Nothobranchius furzeri: one gene and its partners. The main gene of each other region encodes a partner of the protein of the gene in region 3 in a complex. Links are inferred from orthologs where the notes say so. Each region holds a gene or a part of one and is shown on either strand. Other genes may lie near its edges.

Region 1 (3,477 bases), on a different chromosome or scaffold from region 3:
AGGTCCCGAAAGGGGTAGAGTGAAGATCGGTGTGTATCGTGTTCATTTCTTAAGTAAAGTTTTACTTTATAAACTAACACACGTTGTTGTTTTGTAGCGGATATGGGGTTTGCTCGTCTCTTCAATTCACCACTGAAGCCTTTAGCTGATCTCGACCCCGTCGTGGTCACGTTCTGGTACAGAGCACCTGAGCTGCTGCTGGGGGCTCGGCACTACACCAAAGCCATCGGTGAAACCCTTTTCCACTTCTGCTCTGCACGTGTTTTTTATTGGTGTGGCTTTGACTTATGTCAGCACGTGCTGTGCGTTTCTCCCAGACATCTGGGCGATTGGCTGTATTTTTGCAGAGCTGCTAACGTCTGAGCCCATATTCCATTGTCGTCAGGAGGACATCAAGACCAGCAACCCATACCACCACGACCAGCTGGACCGAATCTTTAATGTTATGGGCTTCCCTGCTGGTGAGACTGTTAATGTGTTGGTGTTACACAAGATTTTTCCAGCTACGATGTTCTGGAAGGAAATGTGATGAAACGCATTATTTTCTCGGTCTTTACTTGCTCTGTTTTTGAATGTATTAATGTGGTCTGTAGACGCCGGACATCAAACCACAGACTTTATACAAGTCACAAACCTAGAGATGGTTGCTTGCAGGCCTACATTTGGACCGATACTTTCCAGTTCACAAAATCTGCTTCACTTTTCCTTTTTTCTTTTCTCGTCTCTGCCGCTCTATTTATTTAATTCACCAGTCAGTTAGAAGGATCACTTTGGTTTCTGCAGAAATTTTGGGCAAATTTGCAGAGTTTAAGTACAAAACCAAAGCTAATTGGTGTAAAAATGAAAGAAATGTTGTTTAATTGTAAGTTGCTGTGGAAAAATAATTTTTTAATTTCTTTAAAGATAAATGATCCTTCGTCCTAACCCTTTGTTGCCTTGGTCTAACAGATAAAGACTGGGAAGACATCAAAAAGATGCCAGAGCACTCCACACTGATGAAAGATTTCAGAAGGAACACGTGAGTCTGCAGACCACTTGTGTCCTGTTTTTTATTTGTTTTAAGATCAAAACAAAGCAAAGTATATCTTAATACACAAAAATTACACACACTTCATAGTTTGCTCCTGTTTTTATACAGATACACAAACTGCAGCCTTATAAAGTACATGGAAAAACATAAAGTTAAACCAGACAGTAAAGCATTCCACTTGGTGAGTTGAAGCGCTTTTGATTTAGTCTTTCTCTGCCTGATATATCTGGTACGGCTTTTTGTTTGACATTAAAATCACGTTATTGATTGCAGCTGCAAAAACTATTGACCATGGACCCCATCCGTAGAATCACATCGGAGCAGGCAATGCAGGACCCGTACTTTTTAGAAGAGCCTCTTCCCACGTCTGAGTGAGCTGCAGCAGATTTAGTTCTGGCTTTTAGCGCGGCTAACGTGCCGGAGGAGACTCCTGAACAGGTTGATGAGGTGTTTTTGCATTCTTCTAGTGTGTTTGCAGGTTGTCAGATTCCCTACCCCAAGAGAGAGTTCTTGACAGAGGAGGAGCCAGAGGACAAAGGAGACAAAGTAAAATTTACTTTACAAACTTATTTTATGAATGCATTTGAATCAAAAAGCAGTGGTGTACGTAGATAATCCTCATGGGCGGGCAGTATAAATTTGGGGTGGCACCAAATTGGTCCCTGTGGCTGTCGATTGCTTCTTTGTTATCTTTCATTTAGAACTAAAGGCCTATGCGTCCGTCATATTTACCTCAGAGTTGAGGAACACAAACATTTAAGAGGTTCATAGTTTTTTTCCGCTTTTGTTTTAAATTTTGCTGTTTTATAATTTTAAGTTTAAAATTTGCCTGTTGTCGTTTGAACAAAACCTTTTTGAACATATTTTTGAAAAAATATAGTGAGCCTCAATGGGATACGTAGTATATAAGCTGTGATAATTTTTTTTTAGTAGAATACATTTATTTGTTAGTGTAAAAATGTATGTCCTAATTAAAAAAAGATGAATGTACAATTTGTGTGAACATGATTGTGATTTATTAGGGAAGGTGGGGGGGTGGTCTTCCCTGGTGGGGGGCAGTGGGGTGGCCACCAATTTACCAGGGTGTGGCCATGGCCCCCCATCCCTGGCCACCCCTTGGAGCACCCCTGTCAAAGCAAAAATGAGAAACTAAAATGTTGTAGTACATGTACAGTATTGTTTAGATTGTTTTGTTGTTGGGTGTTTTAGAAGAACCAGCAGCAGCAACAGGGAAACAACCACACAAACGGGGCGGGGCACACTGGCAACCCAGAAAATAGCCACACCCAGGGCCCACCTGCAAAGAAGGTGCGGGTTGTCCCTCCCACCACTACCTCAGGTGGCCTCATTATGACCTCAGACTACCAGGTGAGCTTTTCTGCTGCTCATCTGGACACACAAACAGAACAGCTTGTGTCCTAAATGCTAAATAAAGAAACTAATTGCTGATGAAAACAGAAGAAATTTGAAGTTTTTACTGACAAAGCTTTTTTTGTTGTTGTTGTTGTTCATGCAGCGCTCTAATCCACATGCTGCCTACCAGAATCCTGGACCAAGCACATCACTGCCCCAAAGCAGCATGGGATACTCCTCTACCTCCCAACAACCACCCCAGTACTCCCACCAGTCCCACCGCTACTGAAACACCCCTCCCACAAATAAACACACACATTTCTAATCTGAACACACACTCACACAGCCATTTCTGTGACCGCCTGAACGAATGTACTGAAGGATGTGGGGATGGTGCAACACCCCACACCCTACCTTCTGAAGGCACTCTGCTGTGATCTGGTAGTTCAGAGAGACAAAACAACTCCACCAGTGTCAGACAACACAATCCCAGTACAGCGTAAAGCAAATCCTCATGGGTGAAAGGCAGATCAAGAGGATAAAAATAAAATATTCCATTAATCAGGCAAAATACAGACGAGCCATCTCCTTTCCTCTGCTTCAGTTCCCCTCGTCCCGTCAAAACTTGGATGAGACGAAAGCTGCTACGTGACTGCCCACGTTAACAGATTCTCAGTCCTCCTATTTGTTTTGTTTTTTTGTGTGTAAGGGGCCTCCGCTGAGGACTGAACTGCGGCAAAGCAGGCTGGGAGATTTTTGATCTCACAGCTGTGGGATGGAGGCTTTTTTTGTTCAGAAAGGACAGAGTAAGGATTTTAGTAGTTTCTAATTTAATCTATTGTCATGATTTTGTTTTCATGACAAGCGTAACACAGCAGAGTGTGTGAGTTGCTGTGTACTGTGAGTAAGCCTTACAACATGACGACAAAACCAACTAATCGTATGGAGGATGGCAGATGGAACATGCATTGTACTGTATTGCATTTAAATATTTTACATGAAACAAGTATCCTGACAATAAAAGTGGAAACATCAATTTTGGACCAATTTCAGTGCATTTTGTCATTCATCATTTCTTTTACTCTGTTATTGTT
Region 2 (3,686 bases), on a different chromosome or scaffold from region 3:
CCACGTTTAAGCTGATGGCCAGAGGCTGTTTCAGTAAAATTCATGTCATACTTTAATTCATCAAAATGCATTTTTTAAATGAAAACCAAAAAAAATGTTTTCATAAAAAAAGTATTTCATTAAAATATCTGCTCACCACAGACTAACGACTCATTGACCGGGTGCTGGAAGGAGACACTGAAACTTGAGTCGGTGAGAGGACAAACCTCGAACTGAAGAAGGCCTGCACTGTCTGAGGAGGAAGCAACAACAGTGTTTAATGCAGTTAAACTACACAGACAGAGAAACCACAAGTTTCTGGTGTAGTAGTGTGGACATGACACTTTTACCCTCTTTGGCAGAGGTTCGTTTGACGCAGCTGCCAATCAGAGTGTTATATGCTGCCTGGTGGCGAATGATGTCCAGCAGGAATGGCACTTGAGCTGGATGACGAAAAGGGATCTTGGACACCATTGCTCCTTGTAATGAATGTCCATCCTGAACTGGGGCATCGCCATTCAGGAAGTAACAGTGATGCTGATCTGGCAAGATCTGTAAAATGATTATATGTAGAAGTTATTTTAAACACAATTTTTACACGTTTTGAGCTATTTTGTAAGCATGAAATGCAAACAAAGAGCAGATCTGACAGATCATTCTTATATATTTAAATTATATATATATATATATACACACATACATATAATTATTTAGGAGCTTAAAAATATAAATGTATTGGAATGTGTTGGTATCAGCTCACAGAATAAAAGTGCATGTTATTCAGTGTTGCTGGCACAGAGCTGCTCTCGTCCAGCAGCTGCAGCTGACTCTGGACGATCAGCTGGTAGAGCGGTGAGAGGCTGGGTGACGTCTCAAATACTGGGATTGCTGGGGGGGGGGGGGGGGGGGGGGGTAGAAGAGGTGTAAGAAACACATACAAGGTAAGGATAATCCTTTCATTGCAAATACAGTGTATATACAGGTCCTTCTCAAAAAATTTGCATATTAGCATTATTGTCTGTAATGTACTGATAAACATTAGACTTTCATATATATTAGATTCATTACACACAACTGAAGTAGATCAAGCCTTTTATTGTTTCTAATATTGATGATTTTGACATACAGCTCATGAAAACCCAAAATTCCTATCTCAAAAAAATTTGAATATTTCATCCGACCAATAAAAGAAAAATGTTTTTAATATCAAAAAAGTCAACCTTCTAATAATTATGTTCAGTTATGCACGCAATTCTTGGACGGGAATCCTTTAGAAGAAATGACTGCTTCAATGCGGCGTGGCATGGAGGCCATCAGCCTGTGGCACTGCTGAGGTGTTATGGAGGCCCAGGATGCTTCGATAGCGGCCTTAAGCTCATCCAGAGTGTTGGGACTTGCGTCTCTCAACTTTCTCTTCACAACATCCCACAGATTCTCTGTGGGGTTCAGGTCAGGAGAGTTGGCAGGCCAATTGAGCACAGTAATACCATGGTCAGTAAACCATTTACCAGTGGTTTTGGCACTGTGAGCAGGTGCCAGGTCGTGCTGAAAAATTAAATCTTCATCTCCATAAAGCTTTTCAGCAGATGGAAGCATGAAGTGCTCCAAAATCTCCTGATAGCTAGCTGCATTGACCCTGCCCTTGATAAAACACAGTGGACCAACACCAGCAGCTGACATGGCACTCCAGACCATCACTGACTGTGGGTACTTGACACTGGACTTCAGGCATTTTGGCATTTCCCTCTGCCCAGTCTTCCTCCAGACTCTGGCACCTTGATTTCCGAATGACAAGCAAAATTTGCTTTAATCCGAAAAAAATACTTTGGACCACTGAGCAACAGTCCAGTGCTGCTTCTCTGTAGCCCAGGTCAGGCGCTTCTGCTGCTGTTTCTGGTTCAAAAATGGCTTGACCTGGGGAATGCGGCACCTGTAGCCCATTTCCTGCACACGCCTGTACACAGTGGCTCTGGATGTTTCTACTCCGGACTCAGTCCACTGCTTGTGCAGGTTCCCCAAGGACTGAAATCGGTCCTTCTCCACAATCTTCCTCAGGGTCTGGTCACCTCTTCTTGTTGTGCAGCGTTTTCTGCCACACCTTTTCCTTCCCACTGAGGTGCCTTGATACAGCACTCTGGGAACAGCCTATTCGTTCAGAATTTTCTTTCTGTGTCTTATCCTCTTGCTTGAGGGTGTCAATGATGGCCTTCTGGACAGCAGTCAGGTCGGCAGTCTTACCCATGATTGCGGTTTTGAGTAATGAACCAGGCTGGGAGTTTTTAAAAGCCTCAGGAATCTTTTGCAGGTGTTTAGACAGGGTTTTTCCTGCGTTCAAATTGGCGTGGCGGCCGCCTCCAGCTAATTTTGTGCCGCTCCAGCCTGATTTCACTCTGCCCCCAGCTATATGGATGTTATTTTAACTGCAGTTGCAGCGTTGCGCCACTACAGGGGCGCTGTATCAGCAGCGGTGCACCAAAAAGCGCTAAAGCCGCTCCAGAAAAAGATCAAAAATTGCTTTTCTCGCTTCTTGGTACATATCTATGGTTGGTGCTACTGACATCCCGATTTCCCCCAGGCTCTTCCATATCAGAGCAGGGCTGTACAGTGCGACGAAATAAACTGTCTGTGCGTGTTTGTCTATTTTAAATGAGCATAATTTAAACTGGATTATTGCCAACCCGTACATAATAGACATGCCACCATTACATTGTTAGCAGAAATTAAATGTTATTACCATTTCCAATACAAATGCATGTTAATGAAATGCATTATATTTTACTGGATATATTTGTGTTATTTTGACTATAATGACTGTTATTAATACAAACCTAAAATGTTACTGAAATGTAGGTCAAATATTTAAAAATATTTTTGACTATAAATATCAGATGGGAAAAAGGGAACTACACCAACCTAATACATATTATTGAACCTTTTATAATGAGTCTGTTATTTCAGCCTGATAATTTTGTTGTTTTATTTCATATTTTTTTTTGCAGCAAACCAGTTTTGTTTCACTTGAAACGTCAAATAGAATATTCAATTCATCAACAGAAGCTTAGATTAGAACACTTAACAAAAAATATTTGGCCTTTAAAAAAAGTGAAGCAGTTGAATGCACAGAGTATGCATGTGCTGGCGCATGGTCAGGATGGTACCACTTCTGCCTCAATTTGAGCCAGGAAAAACCCTGTTAGAGTTAATTAGTTGATTCAGATGATTAGGTTAATAGCTCGTTTAGAGAACCTTTTCATGATTTGCTAATTTTTTGGGATAGGAATTTTGGGTTTTCATGAGCTGTATGCCAAAATCATCAATATTAGAAACAATAAAAGGCTTGAACTACTTCAGTTGTGTGTAATGAATCTAATATATATGAAAGTCTAATGTTTGTTTATTTATTTGTAATGTTTATCAATACATTACAGAAAATAATGAACTTCATCACAATATGCTAATTTTTTGAGAAGGACCTGTACACTCACCAAGCACTTTATTGGGTACACCTGTCCAACTGCTCGTTAACGCAAATGACTAATCAGCCAATCACATGGTGGCAACTCAATGCATTTAGGCATGTAGACAAGGTAAAGACGATCCGCTGCAGTTCAAACCGAGCTTCAGAATGGGGAAAAAAGGTGATTTAAGTGACTTTGAACGTGGCATGGTTGTTGGTGCAGACAGGCTGGTCTGAGTATTTCAGAAAC
Region 3 (3,686 bases):
GGCACATTCTTCTCTGCTTTCACCGTCTCCATCATCTTCTTCTCTGGCTCCTGAGGGACAGGCGTCAAGGGTTCCTCTTCCTCAGGGGGCAGAGGGAGAGGCTCCAGGTAATAGCTGCGAGGTTTGGGCTTCAGGTGGGTGTGGTAGAGCAGGAAACGCTGCTGCTCCTCAAATTTAGTGATCTTCCGGTCCACACGTACAGTTCCAAACCAGCCCCAGGAGAGAGGGGCTGAGTGTTTCAGACCCTCAAACACATCCCAAGGAGAAATCTTCTGTTTGGTTGATACTTGAAGGCCCTGATGAACCAAATTACACATTTTAATCAATAACAAAAGCCTAAAAGACCTGAAATATTGAACATTAGAAAATTTAAATGACCAGTGTTTCAAAAACAAATGAAGCTGTAGAAGCAGTGATGATTAGCCTAACAGTTGCTTTTGATCATTATGACAAAAACAATGTCTTTGCACTGTCCTCTATTTGTCTCAGAACCACCAAATCTCCAAGTTCTAGCATTCATAAGAACCTAACCCAAAGCCATTGTCGATCGTCATGTTGAACGAGGAGTAAAGTGTGTCTACCTCCTTCTCAAAGCCGGCGATCTTGTTGCCCTTTGTGTCTATTAGTGAGCCTTGGGGTTCACAGGTGATGACATCACGGGTTTGTTTCGGTAGCGGCAGAAGCTGGCGAACCTTCTCCAAACTTTCTGACTGTCGATCTCCAAGCTCCTTCTGTACGAGTAAGAACAAACGGAGCAACAATTACAAAATCGTACAACCTCAAATGTCAAAGATTTTACCTTAGTCAGAACCACTTTTAACCCTTCGAGCTGGAGCGTCCCCTAATTCTGGGACAAACAGGTGAAGCAGCAAAAGGCCTAGAGCCCAAAGTCATTAGATCATCAGCAGCCATATTGTTTGGCTATTTTACTGTCTGGAAACATATTCTTGAATAGTCCGAATTACCACGCATTCTAATATTACGCAGTAAAACTCAAAAGTTGCTCTTGCTTTCCTTATATAATATATGCTCATACAAGCTGACAGCTTAACAGCTTAATTGCACTGAATTATTTAGATACTTAATAAAAATTAATAAAAAAAATGTTAATGTCTTTAATAGTAATGATTTATTTTGTATATTGCCGATTGAACGCTGCAGAGTGGTTGGAGAAACGGGTTTCAACTCACTCACTCACTTACACACACAAACACACACACACAGGGTACGAAATTAAATTTTTTACTCACCGGCCAAGCGGCATATTTTTTACCGACCAAAATTCTAAATGATTTAGATCTACCTAAAGCATGTTACTCTATATTATGTTGATTCCAGACAGAGTGACAAAATAATTAAAACATCAATTAATAAGAAAAACAACTCTTTTGTCATTTTTACTATTTATTTATTTTTAGAGATGTTTTTATGAACTCTTTCATTGAAATCTAGTCAGACTCCTTGTTTTCTCTGTCCATGAAGTCTGGCCTCCTGCTTCTGACACCGTCTTTGTGCCAAAGCATTACAGCCTCATTTGGGTCCTAGTCCTTGATCTCTGGAGAACACAGCTGCACCATGAGAATATCTGAAAGTGTGTCAGGGCTAGGGTTGTCACGGTAACGGGTGTAGCAGTAAACCCCGGTAAAAAAGTTGACAATAATAATAACCGTCTTGTTTTAAAAAAAAAAAAATCTCGGTGGATTACCGTGGCTGTGGTGTAGGCGCGGTGACCCTTACCAGCCACCGTATCATCTGCTGAAGTAGCCGGCGGCACATGCGCACTTTGTTGTTTACAACCAAAACTTTCTTGAAGCTAAAGCTGAAATAATGGCCAAAGGAGATGGCAGCACTTGGGACATTTATTATCCTTCAAAGAAGAAAAAGTCAGAAGTACGGGCATTTCTTGGATATTTGAAGAATGCCGAGGGACACACACTTGACCTTTTTAAACCCCAGGACAGCAGCAAGTGGGAACTGGAGGATGGAGAGAGGCAGCGGGCAGGACACAGGATGAAGACGGGGGGAGGGTTACGCTATAGGTTAGGCAGAATTGTTTTTTTCTGCTTTTCTACAATGACTGGCCTAAACTTCTTCACCATGTGCTGAGTCGTGTACCACACATGCTTTTTTGCTACAGAACTCACGTGTCCACAGCTTTTTGCGTAGTTTAGAGGGGTGAGTCATACCAAGGTAATTAGATGCCAAACTGCATAACTGCCAAGCAAAGTGTGTACAGGTTGGCAGGTCTGAAACTAGAATAAAAGCCCCTTGATTATTGCCGTAGCTCAACTACACACTTGCACACTCTTTCAGCCCCCCCCCCCCCCCCACACACACACACACACACACACACACACACAGGTCCTACCCTGAGCTTCTTCACCAGGTTCATGTAAGCTCTCTTGTTCTCCTCCATGCTGCCCTGGGAGATGCTGGACATGTCAGCAGCCAGCGTGCCATTTATTAGCACACTTAACATGTCCAACACCGTTGTGAACAGCTCACTGCAGAAAAGAGACGGAGATGAGCACCAGACAGGCACATTACTGACAGTGACTTTGGAAACTCCCTGTAGGCAACACTCACTTGTTGGACTGCATATCCACCGTGCCGCTGCTGATGATGTCGAGGAGAAGAACTGCCCATTCAGTGGTCTGCTGGGTGCTCCGCTGCACCGTATCAAACATGCCTCCAACCTTAGCAAGAAAACAAAAACGCTTCATGAAATCTTTTATTCTAAGAACTCAAATCCAGACCAAAGTCGGTTCTGTGTGATAAGGTGCACATGAAACTAGAAACTTGTGCAATTATTTTGAATCAGAATAAACAAAATCTTGTTAAGATGTTGTGTTATACAGCTATCTATGCTTTTGAAAGACGCTCACAAGATTCAGACGTAGTTTCAGAGCCTCGTGCATCATTTGCTTGGCCTTGCAGTCATCCTGGTACTGATCTTCTCTCCAGTTTGTGACAATCTGCTGCACTTGACTGTAGAGGGAGGTAAGAAGGCCTTCCCTCTGTTCATCCTGGCCCTTCAAGCAGGTCAGCACCAAAGACAGGAACGGCTGCTGGCTCAGCAGAGACATACTGCGGGAGCAGAAACACACGATTGTTCCAAAACTACCAAGATTCCAGGGAAAAGACTCAGCTGCCACGTACCTTTTCTGTTTCTGCCTGTCCCTCTCTTTGCGAGAGGAGGAGCCGAGGTGCTGTCCCTTTTCCAGTTCCTCTCCGGCTGCTTTCAGGACATGGCCCTGGACCGATGTGGGCAGCTTGGCTATCAATGGGGCCACCAGCCAGACGCCTGATCGCTCTGAGGAGCTGGATATCAGTGAAAACAAAGATCTTAGCTTCATTCAACCCAAAATGTAGATTAAAGACAGATCCCATTATCAGTGCAGAGTTGAAATCCGCACCTTAAAATAGGTTTCATCTTGCTCGTGGTGCTGTTGCTATTGGATGCAGAGCCAGCCTGGGCTGCCGCTCCATTTCCTGAGGGGTTACTGGAGTTCATCTCAGCTGATTTCTGGAAAACCTCTATAGTGGCTTTAGCTATGTTCTCCAGGAGAGAGTAGAGCTCCTAAATATAAAATAAACACATTTATGTCGCCAGTAACAACTATAAATTCACCATTTTCTGTTACTGGGACAACAGGAAGGAGTTAGACTCACATTGTTTGTGCTCT
Region 4 (4,472 bases), on a different chromosome or scaffold from region 3:
TATGTCATCAGTTAACGGAGTGTGTTTGAGTATCACTTGGGCTTTTCTTCCCTACCAGTTTGATGCTCCTCGCGATCACTATCACACCAGCGAGAGCCAGTCCAGTGCTAATGTTCTGTGTGAGACAGGAGATAGAGAGGGAGAGGAAGGTGACAGGGTGAGAGTGAAATCTTACACTCAGCTGTGGATGTGCTTCCACCCAGCAATGACAGTAACACAAGCGCACTAAAGGCTACTGTTGACAGCTGGCGATGGGATATCTGGCCGGTGTGGTGATTCACCAGACATCGTGTGTTGCAAAAGAGCAGCTTAAAAGACATGTCCCCACATGTGCAGGTTTCAGCTCGTGAGACCACATACGTCATCGATCCTAGACAAAAGAGGCTCCTACCCGCACGAGCGACAAATTCTCGTCTGCGAATTGAGAAACTACGGACACGACGTTACGTGACGGCTGGTTCTGGTTTTCTTCCCGTCTCCGTCGCCTGTCACTCACAACCTCCTCTGTTTCTGTTTCTCGGGTGGGCTCCGGCATGTTGTTGACATTTTCTCGACTAGTCTGACGCTCCGCCTTTTTGGGGGAGGGACGTTTAAAACGGGACTGTAAGCAGAAGCTCCGCCCCTCAACGTAGAAGCGAAAGCAGCATCAAGTTTACATAAAAAAAAAAAACCAAAGAACATCATGTGCAGTCGACTTTGGTTTAAAACGTAAAGGTTTGTGAACGTTAAAAGCTCGGCTAGTTAGCTAACTTGCTAAGGATGCTAGTGCTAGCAGCAACCACTCAGATTGCCCACAGATTATTTAACATCTGCACATTAATCCCCAATTACACATTAGAGTGCTGATATCTTTGTTTTAAAAGTGCAAAAGCTAAATTGCCGCCTTATAAACTTGACATATTATATAAAAATGGTAACGTCTAGCACTGGCAGCAGAGTGAGACATGTTAAGTAAAGAGTTACCACTGTATGACAGATGCACTGAGGCTCTCATCTTGTAAACTGTGAAGTCATGGAGCTTCTTGAAGCCGGATAACGCCCCCATCAACACAAATTGGCCAATGGGAGCTGAGAGGCAGAGTTGTCCTCCTGGCCGCCATTAAAGAATTCAATCCATGTAGTGAAATAATGGAAATCTGCAGGACACCCATGGATCCAGGCAGAGACGATTAGCCGATGAGTAGTGTCGGAGATTTGGCATTTATTCTGTTTGACGAACAGTTTTATCATGACGGAGCTCCGTTGAGGTTTTAGAAGGAATGAGGGCGGTGTAGCTGATTGTTTTATTTAGCTGGCAGGCTAGCTGAGATCAGGGGGAGGGGAGAGTTCCTCTGCTTTGAAATTGTTTCAGATCAGCTAGCTGACGTTAGCATTAGCACACCAGGGACCAAGCTTTTGTGATGAAGTTTTTTTAGTTTCCGAGCTCGTTCTTTCAAATTTCTGGGGTTTGTTTTAACTTTAGTCTGTTCTGGTTAGGTTAACGTTAATTGTTTGATATTTATGTGATGTGGCCGCAGCTCTGCGGCTAACCAGATCAGACAATACATTTCAAATAGGATTGATGAATCGACTAGCTAGAAGCCTACAGTTGACGCTATCTGGCTGTCTGTCTAATGTTAGCTTAGCCGCCAGGCTAGTAGCTAGCGCCGGTTAGAAGTTGGCTGACTTAATTACAAGTGAACGTCGCTTCGCTTGCGAGTTACACCTATCAGCTATTGCCCCAAAGGTGGTTGAGACAATGGACTTGAACGTTACCACCGCGCAGTGAAAGGATGAGTTCGTGCTTTGTACCAAACGGAGCCAGTTTGGAGGATTGCCACTCCAACATCTTCTGCCTGGTAAGCCTAGCTAGCGCTAGTTGTGTTGCTGAAAGGCCAGAAAGCCATTTTGGCTCAGAAGGCAACAAGCTTTGTAACGTCAGTTTCAGATTGGCGAGAAGGCATCGGGCCTTCAAGTCTCAAATTGTCATCCTGCTTGTTTTAATAACACACAAAACACATGTTGTTTGGCTACTTTATAAAAAATGACGTGTTTGCGATTGTGCTTTTGGCCCATGTTTACACTGCAGTTGAAGAGGGATAATCAGTGTTAGCAACATGTTTATAACGGGTTGGGAATTGTTTGAAACACAGCCGATTGTTCTAAATTGTGTTGGATATGTTTTTAAATGATCTATAAACAGAATAACAGGGTTTTCTTTGCAGTCTGAAAAAGTATAAAATTGTTTTTATTTTGTATTTTCCGTTACATGTATGGAAATAAGAGCAGTGTGTGGAACGCATTTGCGTTACCAGACTTTCGTTTCCTACTATTTTATTACTCAAAAATGTAAAAATCAGATTCTAAAGAAGTGAACATACAAGCTTTTCAAAACAATGTAGCTAAGTTATGGAGTTATTTAACATGAAAAATGAAGACAAACCTTAGCGATCATGATATTATTTATTGACTAATCATGAAATGCACGTAAAATTAACGTGTAATATAATAACATCTATATTACTAGTGGGATGGACATCTGTTGGTTTTCCATGGTTATATCTTGAGTTTTCCATGCTGAGTGTTATTCTGTTTGTTAGTTGGATCATTTGACCTTTATAGAAACGTGTTAAAATAACTGTCAGAATACCAGGTGCACATTAACTAGCCTATTTCACAATTATTTAGTGGATATTTACAGTAAAATTCAGGAAATGTTCTAGAATCAGCTGCAGTCTGGAAATTAACCTCTGGAAAAGTCTGGAATGAAGTCAGCTGCCTTGGCAACTTAAAATGAAATGTGTTTACAAGTTTATGCTTACTTTTTTTTTGCAGTGAAACATTCAGTGTTGTCTACATGTTTTAGAACAAAATGAATGAAAACACAGAATGTTTTTTTCCTAGAAGGTGGCTTTGCTCTGAAATGATCTTGAAATAGAAAGTTTGATCAGTTACTGTGTAAAATACTTCAATTAATCAGCTTTTGAAGTTCTTCTCTGTTATTAATTTTTGCATCAGGTATGTTTGTGCATTCTATTTTCTAAAAAACAAAAGCTTAAATATCTAAATGTAAATGTTTTTCAAGTTTTTTTAACATGTTGATTGTATGGAAAAGAGGGACAAATAAGTTGGTTCATCCACCACATAAAGCTTCATTTTTAATTTGTTGATAGAAACCCCCCGTGCATTGATGCTAATACAAGTGCTGAGGGTCAGACGTGTCTCAGATGAAAGACACCTGCAGCTCAGGCCTTTTCCTCTTCATCTGTTGACACGTTTGTGGACAAGTTGAACCTCATGTCACTTCCAGTGATGCCACCTTGCATTGCAGTGTTGTGCAGCACTTTGTGAGCCTTGCTAAGTTTATTCATAATACAACTAGGCAGTCACAAGTTGGCCCAGTCCGTAACTATACACCGCGTGCAACAATGTCAACCATCCTCTTGTTATTATCTTTATTATGTAAAGTGCTTTACTATAAGACAGAAAAAGCAGCCTTCAGCTTTCTAAAACACATACGCATAGCCATGGATTTGCCTTTGTGTTTTAAATTTTTATTCACACTTTGTTTTTTTATATTTTCTTCCCTTTAGGCTGATTTGACTGGAATAAAATGGCGACGTTTTGTGTGGCAAGGTCCCACCTCTTCGCCCATCCTCTTCCCGGTGACCGAGGAGGACCCGATCTTGTGTAGCTTCAGCCGATGCCTGGCAGCAGATGTGCTAAGTGTGTGGAGAAGGCACCACACCCCGGGTCGCAGGGAGCTTTGGCTTTTCTGGTGGGGGGATGACCCCAGTTTTGCAGAGCTTATCCACAATGAGCTTTCGAGTAAGTGAATGCATCATTTGCATGTTTTCTGCCGGGTTTGAGATTCGCACAATATCCCGTTTAACTCTCACCAACTTTGATGTTCATTGATCCAAATGGAAATATTGTGACGTTTACTTGAGGGGTGGGTGGTATGATCACAGAAATAAATTAAGATTGGTTAGTTTGTTCTTTTTTTAGAATTATGGTCAAACTGTAATTTTGATTACATTTTCTCTTTTATATGCATAAAATAAAGAGAAAACAAGCAGCTTTAGTTTGGAGCAATGTAGATTAGTCCTGATCTGACAGAGGAGCTAACAGCTAGTTCAAATTAGGTCAGTCACAAAGATTTTTTAAAGTCCCAAAAAAATCTTAGATTATGCAGCATTTTACATTGTTTTTAGAGTTCATGATTATTCTGACGGATATAACCAAGAATTGCAAACAAAAGTTCTATAGTAGCTAGTTCTGCAGCTAATTTCTGCCGTAAATAACCCAGAAACGTCTCACTTGTGGTGATTCTAGTCTGAAAATCTCCAACAGCAGAAATTTATGGTGGCATAAAAGCTAATAAAATAACATTCCGTTTGAACTGCTGTGGAATTTTGTTAGGTTTAACAAAACTCCAGATAACTGACCCTACTTGGGCTAGTCATTAGCATGTGTTCAAAGATTTATCTACA
Region 5 (3,333 bases), about 9.2 Mb from region 3:
TACTCTGCAACTTTTTCATATTTTTACATCGTTTTCTTTAGCCAGTATGTACTAAAATGACCCTTAGGGTGAAAAAAATGTCACTCAGACCCCCACCGCCCCCTGTGGCCAGAATATCACACTTGCAACTTGTCCGGTCCCTGATGGACTTAGTAAAGTGGAACTGACATGCTTCTTTAGCAATGACTTTCTATGGTTTCCCTTCCTTGTGGTAAAAAAGTTATCCGTGCATCCCTAATTTACATAATAGGTCAGATGAATTTTTTTAAACAAGTGACAAAATACTATACTTTTTCAGGATTTTCTACCTGTATTTGTCATCGTTTAAGCCAGGGGTGTCAAACTGAAATTCACTCTGGGCCAAACTGGAGAAACTAGAACAAAGTCATGGGAAAATGTTTATGGATGCAAATGCTTAAAATTTTCTTTATCTTCTGATTTGTGTTGTTGAATGTTTTATATGGAAACAAACCATAGTCTTGCATTAATAGTTACTCTGGAATAACCAAAGTTTAAAATTAACAACACACGGGCAGTTAACTTTGAAATAAAACACATCAGATGGAAACTGAGCAGAAGCCACAGAGTCAAATTTGAGCGTTTTACTACACCGGAGCTCATTTGGCTCCATTTGGAGGTTGCTTTCTGCGCTTTTCACGTCGGCCACAAATAGATTACTGAGCTGTTGAAATCTTGATATTTGGGCTTCAAAGTTGGCAAATTGCTGGGTGCTAACTAAGCAGTCATTTTTTTGTTTGTCTGAGACCGAATCTGTGGTCTCCAGGTCCGCAGCCGTACCCTCCTCGAGACTGGTAGCATGGATGCTGCTGATAATGCAGCAAAGCATTCTGGGATCTGTAGTATTGGCAACATATGCACTGGCAGGTCAGTTCTCGAGGGCCAGGGTTTGACTCCAGTGGCTTAAGCTATAGTTAATCTAAACCTGCATTCTGACAGGTGCTGGGACTTCTGGGCGCTCTAATGAATTAGACTTTGAGGGCTGAGGCTGTATCTCTAAAACCAAAAGTTTAACTTTCATTGTTTCTGATTTGTTGTTTTTTTTTAGCCTCTTTAATCTCACCTGGACTCCTCACTATGGCCTGTAAATTACACGGATCCCTTTCAGCCACGCTCTTTATTTCCACTTTTATAGTGTCTCTTTTGTTGCAGGTATGATCGACTGTCCGGGCACTCAGGACGGCAGCTCTCTGCGCTCTCTGATAGATAAGCCTCCCGTTTGTGGGAACTCGTTCAGCCCGCTGACTGGTGCTCTGCTCACAGGATTCAGACTACATACAGGACCGGTACCACAACACTGATTATGCCTGATAATAAATGATCATCTTATCCCCGTTATGTAACATGTAGTGTTTTTTTTTTTTTCCAGCTTCCAGAACAGTACAGACTGATGCACATACAGCCCCCAAAGAAGAAGAGCAAACACAAACACAAGCACAATCGACCACAGGACCCCCTCCCACAAGGTCTGGTGGCGTGTTAGTGAGGTCAGCTGAAACAAGTGCTACGTGTTTTTCACCACACTGACACGTCTGTTCTGATTTTAGAAACTCCGTCAGACTCTGATCCCAAGAAAAAGAAGAAAAAGAGGGACGATGATCCTGACCGCAAGAAAAAGAAGAAAGACAAGAAAAAAAAGAAGGTGAGAAAATTTTAAACACTAATTAAGTTTCTAGCTGGGCATTAAAAAGATTTAAAATGTTGACTCGGAATAGCATTGTGACATAAGTCGCACAGCAGTTTTGTTTTTTCATCCAGTTCTCAGTATTAATGAGTACACCCCCTTTGAAGAGTACAAATTTAATCAGTAGCTCAATGAACTAAAAAAATTTTCCAGAATTTTAACAAGGCTGGGTTTTATTAAACACTTGCTTAACTCCATAACATGAAATTAAGGCTATTAATATGACTTGGATCACAAAATCTTCAGTTTTGCTAAAATTGGTTTTAGCAAAAAGGAATACACCCCTCAACAAAAACTACTACATCAAGTCTTCTAGGCATGGCATGAACAAGATGGTGACATATTGCAACATCGGGCTGCATGGTGGCACAGTTGTTGCACTGTCGCTATTTCTGCGTGGAGTTGCGTGTTCTCCCCATGCATGCTCGGGTTTCCTCCGGGTACTCCGGTTTCCCCCACAGATCACAACATGCCCTATAGGTTATAAATTGTAAGTCGCTTTGGATAAAAGCGTCTGCTAAATAAATAAACATAAACATTAACATCTATCTTTTTCCATTCTTCAAGAATAACGTGTTTTATAATCTGGATGCTGGATGGAGAGTGATGCTCAACCTTCAGAATTCCCCACAGGTGTTCAGATCAGGAGACATACTTGGCCATTCAATCACCTTCACCCTGTTCTTCTTCAGAAATGCAACAGTAGCTTTAGATGCGTTTTGGATCATTGTCGTGGTGGAAACGTGCACAATGATTCAAATTCAATTCAATTCAAAGATACTTTATTAATACCAGAGGGAAATTGATTGCTGTAGTAGCTCAGAATAATAATAATAATCAAGTCATCAAAGAGTTATTGTATATTACAATGGCTGTTGGCAGGAAGGATCTCCAGTAGCGGTCAGTGTTGCAGCCAAACTGAAGAAGCCTCTGACTGAAGACACTCTTCCGTTGTCGGACAGTCTTGTGAAGAGAATGCTCAGGGTTGTCCATCATTTTCTTGATTCTCTGGAGAATCCTTCTTTGCATTATCCCCTCCAATGATCAAGTGCATGGAGTGATGGCTGCATCTTCTCCTTCAGTATAGAACAGGACATCGTTGAGTTCATGATGCCATCAATGAAATGCAGCTCCCCAACACCAGCAGCACTCATGCAGCCCCACATAAGGACACTGCCACCACCACCACGTTTCACTGTAGGCACCATGCATTTCTCTTTGAAATCCTCACCTTTACAACGCCATAGTTTTGAAACCATTACTTCCACAAACTGTGATCTTTGTCTCATCACTCCAGAGTACAGAGTGCCAGTAGTCTTCATCTCTTTCAGCACGGGCCCTAGCAAATCCTAGGTGTGCTTTTTGTGCATGAGCTTTAGGAGAGGCTTCCTTCGTAGACAATACCCATGTATGCCATTCCTCTGCAGTGTGCGTTGTATGGTGTCATGGGAAACGGTCACTCCAGTTTGGCTTTCTACTGCTTTAACTAACTGCAGTGAACTTTAATGGTGATTTTCTTCAGTCTTCAGAAGACGCTCCTTTTGAGATGTTCACTTCCATGGACGGCCTGGACGTCTCTGTAAGATGGTTGCACTTTCGTCTTTCTTACATTTTTTGGTCTTACATTTTTT
Region 6 (4,170 bases), on a different chromosome or scaffold from region 3:
AAACTACAAATTTATGCTGGTAAACATCAGTATCTAAATATATTTATTTTATATTACCTATTAATATTTTAATTGAATTTAATAAGAACAAAACCCCTTTTTAATCAGTTTAAATGACTTTCTCTGACTCGCTGGTAGAAATAAATTTTGCTCATCTGGTAAACAGCGACATGTAGTGTTCAACATTATCTCATGCTTGCGACGCAATTTTTGAGCACTAGCTCCAACCAATCACCAGAGAGAATACTCCTACGTTTGAAATATTGACCAATGAGCGCTTACGTAGTTGCAACAACGATTCCATCGCTTACGTTGTGAGAGTCTGGTTTTCAAACCTACAGCCCTGCATGCTGTGGAAAAGTCAGGTAATTCTTACATTGGGAAAAAATCAGTGCGACTAGAAATGTTCCCATTGACGGTGACATAGGTGTGTTTAATAGCTGTTGAGTTTTTTTGTTTGTTTCAAACAGCTGATGGATCGCGTCGCTATCTAACGGCTAACATGCTAATAAACACGCTTCAGCGACATTGAACGAATGGTTCAAACTATTAGTATTCTATTATTAGTATGGAATATATCAGTGAAATGCGGCGAGACTTCCTCGTTTGCTTTTATTTTGCTTGCAATGAGCCACGTTTCGATGTCGTTTTTTCATACTAGTGGACTTATTCAGGCTTTAGCTTCTCTTTAACCTTACCTGGCTGCTTTATAACTAATAATGTACTATCCGTTTACAGAAAAATGTTCTTTGTTAATAAGATACTTAACAAGATAGATAGATAGATAGATAGATAGATAGATAGATAGATAGATAGAGTAGCAGACAGGGAAGTACAAAAGTATAAGAATAGGCAGAAGTAATATAAACTATTGGTGCTTTACTATACTAGAGTAACATGTTTCATGGTTGTATATTTGTAGTTATAAACAGATATGCGTTTGTGGAAAATTAATCTACAATAAAAACATCTGTTGCACAGCGATGGTATGCATGTTGTCTTGAAGCCATATTTACTATGGCAGAGATGGCCAAATGAGCAGCCGATTAGTCTCTGTAGGGCAGTGGTTTCTAATCCAATAGCAATCACTGCGTGGTTTTAATCAGTGAGGTACTTCTGCAGAGCTTGTTGACATGCTGATCATGTAATTCAAGCTTTGAATTGGAAGTGTTGGAGCAGACAAACAGTGAGGACCGCAGTGAGGCGTCCTGAAGAGAGATGGGTTGTCTGTGGTGGGGAGCAGTTTGTGCAGAGACGACCTGTCTCTCATGCCCTAGGACCAGATTTCCATGGTTTTCCTTAGGTGCTTGAAACGACTTGAATTTTTTTTCCCATAAAATACCTAAAACCTTAGCTGAAATTGGGGATTTGGAGTTTTGTGCATGACAAATGTGTGTGTGTTCACTCTTGCTAGGATGAAGGTGGTGAATTTGAAACAAGCCATTTTGCAGGCGTGGAAGGAACGATGGAGTGATCACCAGTGGGCCATCAACATTAAAAAAAACTTCCCAAAGGGCCAAACATGGGACTACCTTAATTTTGCTGGTTTGTGACGCCTATTTGTTGATAATCTGTTAATTTAATAAACACTTCCTCTATGATTTGAAATGTTTTCTGTGTATTTTAGAGGCACTGATGGAGCAGGCGATGATCGGTCCCTCTCCCAACCCGCTGATTCTGTCTTACCTTAGATATGCTATAAGCTCACAGGTAGAGAGAAGAACCATGGTTATGATCAAACATGCAGCTGAACAGATTATCTAATGGTGCACCTCATTCTCCCTGTCTCAGATGGTGTCCTATTCCAGCGTACTAACAGCCATCAGCAAGGTACTTTTTGGAATATAAACACAATGGTGTAGTAATCACTTGAAGAACTACAACTTTAACATAAATATCTCCATTTAAACAGTTTGATGGCTTTTCTCGGGAGCTGTGTGTCATGTCATTGTTGGAGATAATGGACATGTTCTGCCATCGTCTCAAGTATGTTCAATCTTTTCTAACTCAACAGATTGTGTCAATGGGTCATCATTCTACCACTAAAAAAATGTATAAACTAAAACAATTTCTTGTCTGTGTGTGTCTCAGCTGTCACGGAAAAGCAGAGGACTGCATCGGGCTGTGCCGGGCCCTGCTGGGGGTGCTCGTGTGGCTGCTGCAGGGCTGTGCGTTTTACTGCGAGAAGTTAAGAGAGCTGGGCCCGTCTCCCAGCATCGAGGCCGCTCTCAAAGCCTGCCAGGAGAGGCTCCACCACCTGATGAGCAGCACTAAGATCAGAGCTCTGGTCCACATTGCCCGACTGGAGGACCAAGGTGCCTGAAAATAGCTTTTTCAAACCATTTATTTAAAAATATTGTTTTGAGAAGCTGAAAGGTGTTCCTTGTGGATACAATGGTGTTTAAAATCCTCAAATCTCTCTCGGAACATATTTGTTTTGAAGCAAATGGCAGACCACAGGATGTTGCGCTTACTTCATGCACCTTTAAAGTGTCTGTGTCTATGTCCTCAGGTTCCTGGGGTAACGCTGAACAAGCAGTGCTCAAGGTGTCTGACGGCCTTGTTAACGTGCCAAACCAAACACTCAGAGCTAAACTAGAGGAAAGCTTGTCTCTAGTTAAAAGGTCAGCCTTCCTCTGCCCGACTTAGAAGGGCCATCACAATCCAGCTTGTTTATGCTGCATCTCTGCTCTTCTCCCTCAGCATCCCGCTGATGCTCTCGGTACAAAGTGACCCGCCAGTCCGTGCCTCTTTCCCATCAGTTCATGCTTTCATCATGCTGGAGGGGACCATGAATCTAACGGGGGAGATCCAGCCCATGGTGGAGCAGCTAATGATGATCAAAAGAATGCAGGTAAACATTAAAGTGGGGGGAAACAATCACATTGCACCTTTTTTATTTTTTGTAGAAAGATGAACCTTGTAATGTTTTTAGTTGGAACAATTTTAAGTAAGAATGTGTTTTCATTTCATTTGCATTTAAAGGGATACTATGCAACTTTTTTCATAATTTTAAATCATTTTCTCAAGCTATTATGTGCCAAAATGACCCTTTGCAGGGTTAATGAAAGGCCACCCAGCCCCTCTCACCACCGTGGCCAGAATATTCCACTTGCAACTTCAGACTGGCGGGCCACTCTAAGTTAAGCTGATTTACCTGACGCAGTAGTCTGCTTCTAGCACGTTTCCTTCATGTTTTAGATCACGAACACAGCTAATTTGTTTAATTTAGTGATGAATCACTCCTGTATAAGGAAGGCTGAGGAGACATTTCAGCTGTTAGATTAAGGTGTTAAAACACATGTGTCAGACACAAGGCTGGCCTGCGGAGCATTTCTATGTGGCCCGCGAGATAAATATCAAAAATATATTAAAACTGACCCGCTGGCCGATTTTACTGTAAAGACTACAACTCCCATGATGGTTTGCGGCGTTAGCGCGGAGCCAAAGCGCCCCCTCCTTTGTGTTTTTTCCAGCATCTACTGCCGGTGTCTGCAGCTCCGCTGTCTCGGACAAACTAAACGCTCCTCTCACTCAGCGCCAAGTTCACTCAGCTGTTTTCTGACGTTGAAGCCCAGAAACGGAGATTTTAACCGCTCTGTAATGTGTGAACGACTATAAGAGAAAGATTTCCAACTAACTTTCAGACAGAGCTGATTTTACTCCAGCGAGCAGCGACGAGCTCAAATCAGCATGACTCTGTGGCTGCTGTCGTTTTTATTTTTCCTCCCCAACACACAACGACGTGGTCAAGCTGCTCAGACATGTTCAGCAGCACAAACCTATGTGAGCACCTGTTGTCATATAATGTTGTCATTATTATGATGAAGATGAACAAAACAACAGGAGTCTCCTCCTCAGCTCAGATCAACCCCATGATGCAGGGATCTGGCTGGAACAGGTGAGCATCACAGTAAACCAGTGGAACAAACTGAGCTTTAAATATGTTGGTTTTATGCTCTTTTTCTGCTCCAAAACATGAAAGTTAACAGGTGAGATGTTGCATTTTCATTTAAGATAAAATGATATTTTTATTTTGTTGTCGGCCCGTGAGAAAAGATTTAACCTACAGTAAACAGGAAGTGGAAAGGCTGCAGATAGATGAATAGAATAGAAAATCCCTTTATTGTTCCTGAGTGGGGAAAGCTAGATGTCACAGCAGCGATGACG

Evidence for each region.
Region 1: the proteins of med12 (region 3) and cdk8 are in contact, whole or in part, in a cryo-EM structure (PDB 8TQ2), measured with the Homo sapiens proteins. The link is inferred for Nothobranchius furzeri from reciprocal best matches to the Homo sapiens genes MED12 and CDK8. Residues at the interface, in NP_005111.2 of Homo sapiens: Pro26, Gln27, Gln31, Glu33, Asp34, Leu36, Asn40, Val41, Lys42, Gln43, Gly44, Phe45, Asn47; in NP_001251.1 of Homo sapiens: His143, Ala144, Trp146, Phe180, Asn181, Ser182, Pro183, Pro186, Ala208, Arg209, His210, Thr212, Lys213, Met273, Pro274, Pro320.
Region 2: med12 (region 3) and med1 share a complex: the UniProt entries of both Homo sapiens proteins name them as parts of the mediator complex. The link is inferred for Nothobranchius furzeri from reciprocal best matches to the Homo sapiens genes MED12 and MED1.
Region 4: the proteins of med12 (region 3) and mediator of RNA polymerase II transcription subunit 13-like are in contact, whole or in part, in a cryo-EM structure (PDB 8TQC), measured with the Homo sapiens proteins. The link is inferred for Nothobranchius furzeri from reciprocal best matches to the Homo sapiens genes MED12 and MED13. Residues at the interface, in NP_005111.2 of Homo sapiens: Ala3, Phe4, Arg12, Pro13, Arg16, Leu86, Thr123, Thr127, Thr150, Pro152, Val153, Met154, Arg155, Phe242, Pro278, Leu281, Arg282, Arg356, Pro357, Phe360, Gly361, Cys364, Gln367, Thr368, Cys372, Pro407, Glu408, Phe413, Val417, Lys1526; in NP_005112.2 of Homo sapiens: Ser157, Glu158, Thr336, Val337, Pro339, Gln340, Ser341, Gln343, Lys344, Trp345, Lys347, Phe348, Asp1186, Ile1189, Leu1190, Gln1193, Asp1194, Pro1332, Ile1333, Thr1335, Leu1337, Tyr1340, Asp1341, Tyr1342, Asp1343, Tyr1344, Leu1345, Val1346, Leu1347, Ser1348.
Region 5: med12 (region 3) and med19a share a complex: the UniProt entries of both Homo sapiens proteins name them as parts of the mediator complex. The link is inferred for Nothobranchius furzeri from reciprocal best matches to the Homo sapiens genes MED12 and MED19.
Region 6: med12 (region 3) and med24 share a complex: the UniProt entries of both Homo sapiens proteins name them as parts of the mediator complex. The link is inferred for Nothobranchius furzeri from reciprocal best matches to the Homo sapiens genes MED12 and MED24.

The regions. Positions count from the first base shown.
Region 1 is NC_091747.1:51,014,390-51,017,866, forward strand, and holds the end of cdk8 (cyclin-dependent kinase 8), read left to right. Parts: coding exon 1-29; intron 30-97; coding exon 98-229; intron 230-317; coding exon 318-461; intron 462-948; coding exon 949-1,018; intron 1,019-1,138; coding exon 1,139-1,211; intron 1,212-1,303; coding exon 1,304-1,401; intron 1,402-1,497; coding exon 1,498-1,576; intron 1,577-2,239; coding exon 2,240-2,398; intron 2,399-2,546; coding exon 2,547-2,672; 3' UTR 2,673-2,891; downstream 2,892-3,477.
Region 2 is NC_091756.1:39,210,691-39,214,376, forward strand, and holds part of med1 (mediator of RNA polymerase II transcription subunit 1), read right to left. Parts: intron 868-3,686; coding exon 740-867; intron 532-739; coding exon 330-531; intron 233-329; coding exon 137-232; intron 1-136. UniProt on the Homo sapiens protein: Component of the Mediator complex, a coactivator involved in the regulated transcription of nearly all RNA polymerase II-dependent genes.
Region 3 is NC_091741.1:82,323,222-82,326,907, reverse strand, and holds part of med12 (mediator of RNA polymerase II transcription subunit 12), read right to left. Parts: coding exon 3,673-3,686; intron 3,581-3,672; coding exon 3,417-3,580; intron 3,322-3,416; coding exon 3,160-3,321; intron 3,088-3,159; coding exon 2,886-3,087; intron 2,697-2,885; coding exon 2,587-2,696; intron 2,505-2,586; coding exon 2,369-2,504; intron 732-2,368; coding exon 582-731; intron 297-581; coding exon 1-296. UniProt on the Homo sapiens protein: Component of the Mediator complex, a coactivator involved in the regulated transcription of nearly all RNA polymerase II-dependent genes.
Region 4 is NC_091753.1:50,252,263-50,256,734, reverse strand, and holds the start of mediator of RNA polymerase II transcription subunit 13-like, read left to right. Parts: upstream 1-1,542; 5' UTR 1,543-1,772; coding exon 1,773-1,838; intron 1,839-3,572; coding exon 3,573-3,807; intron 3,808-4,472. Other genes in the region: c18h3orf33 (protein C3orf33 homolog), read right to left, coding at 56-115, 392-535. UniProt on the Homo sapiens protein: Component of the Mediator complex, a coactivator involved in the regulated transcription of nearly all RNA polymerase II-dependent genes.
Region 5 is NC_091741.1:91,561,864-91,565,196, forward strand, and holds part of med19a (mediator of RNA polymerase II transcription subunit 19-A), read left to right. Parts: intron 1-1,170; coding exon 1,171-1,304; intron 1,305-1,387; coding exon 1,388-1,484; intron 1,485-1,565; coding exon 1,566-1,660; intron 1,661-3,333. UniProt on the Homo sapiens protein: Component of the Mediator complex, a coactivator involved in the regulated transcription of nearly all RNA polymerase II-dependent genes.
Region 6 is NC_091756.1:31,526,237-31,530,406, reverse strand, and holds the start of med24 (mediator of RNA polymerase II transcription subunit 24), read left to right. Parts: upstream 1-1,282; 5' UTR 1,283-1,289; coding exon 1,290-1,303; intron 1,304-1,414; coding exon 1,415-1,545; intron 1,546-1,627; coding exon 1,628-1,710; intron 1,711-1,791; coding exon 1,792-1,830; intron 1,831-1,912; coding exon 1,913-1,986; intron 1,987-2,091; coding exon 2,092-2,315; intron 2,316-2,512; coding exon 2,513-2,624; intron 2,625-2,703; coding exon 2,704-2,854; intron 2,855-4,170. UniProt on the Homo sapiens protein: Component of the Mediator complex, a coactivator involved in the regulated transcription of nearly all RNA polymerase II-dependent genes.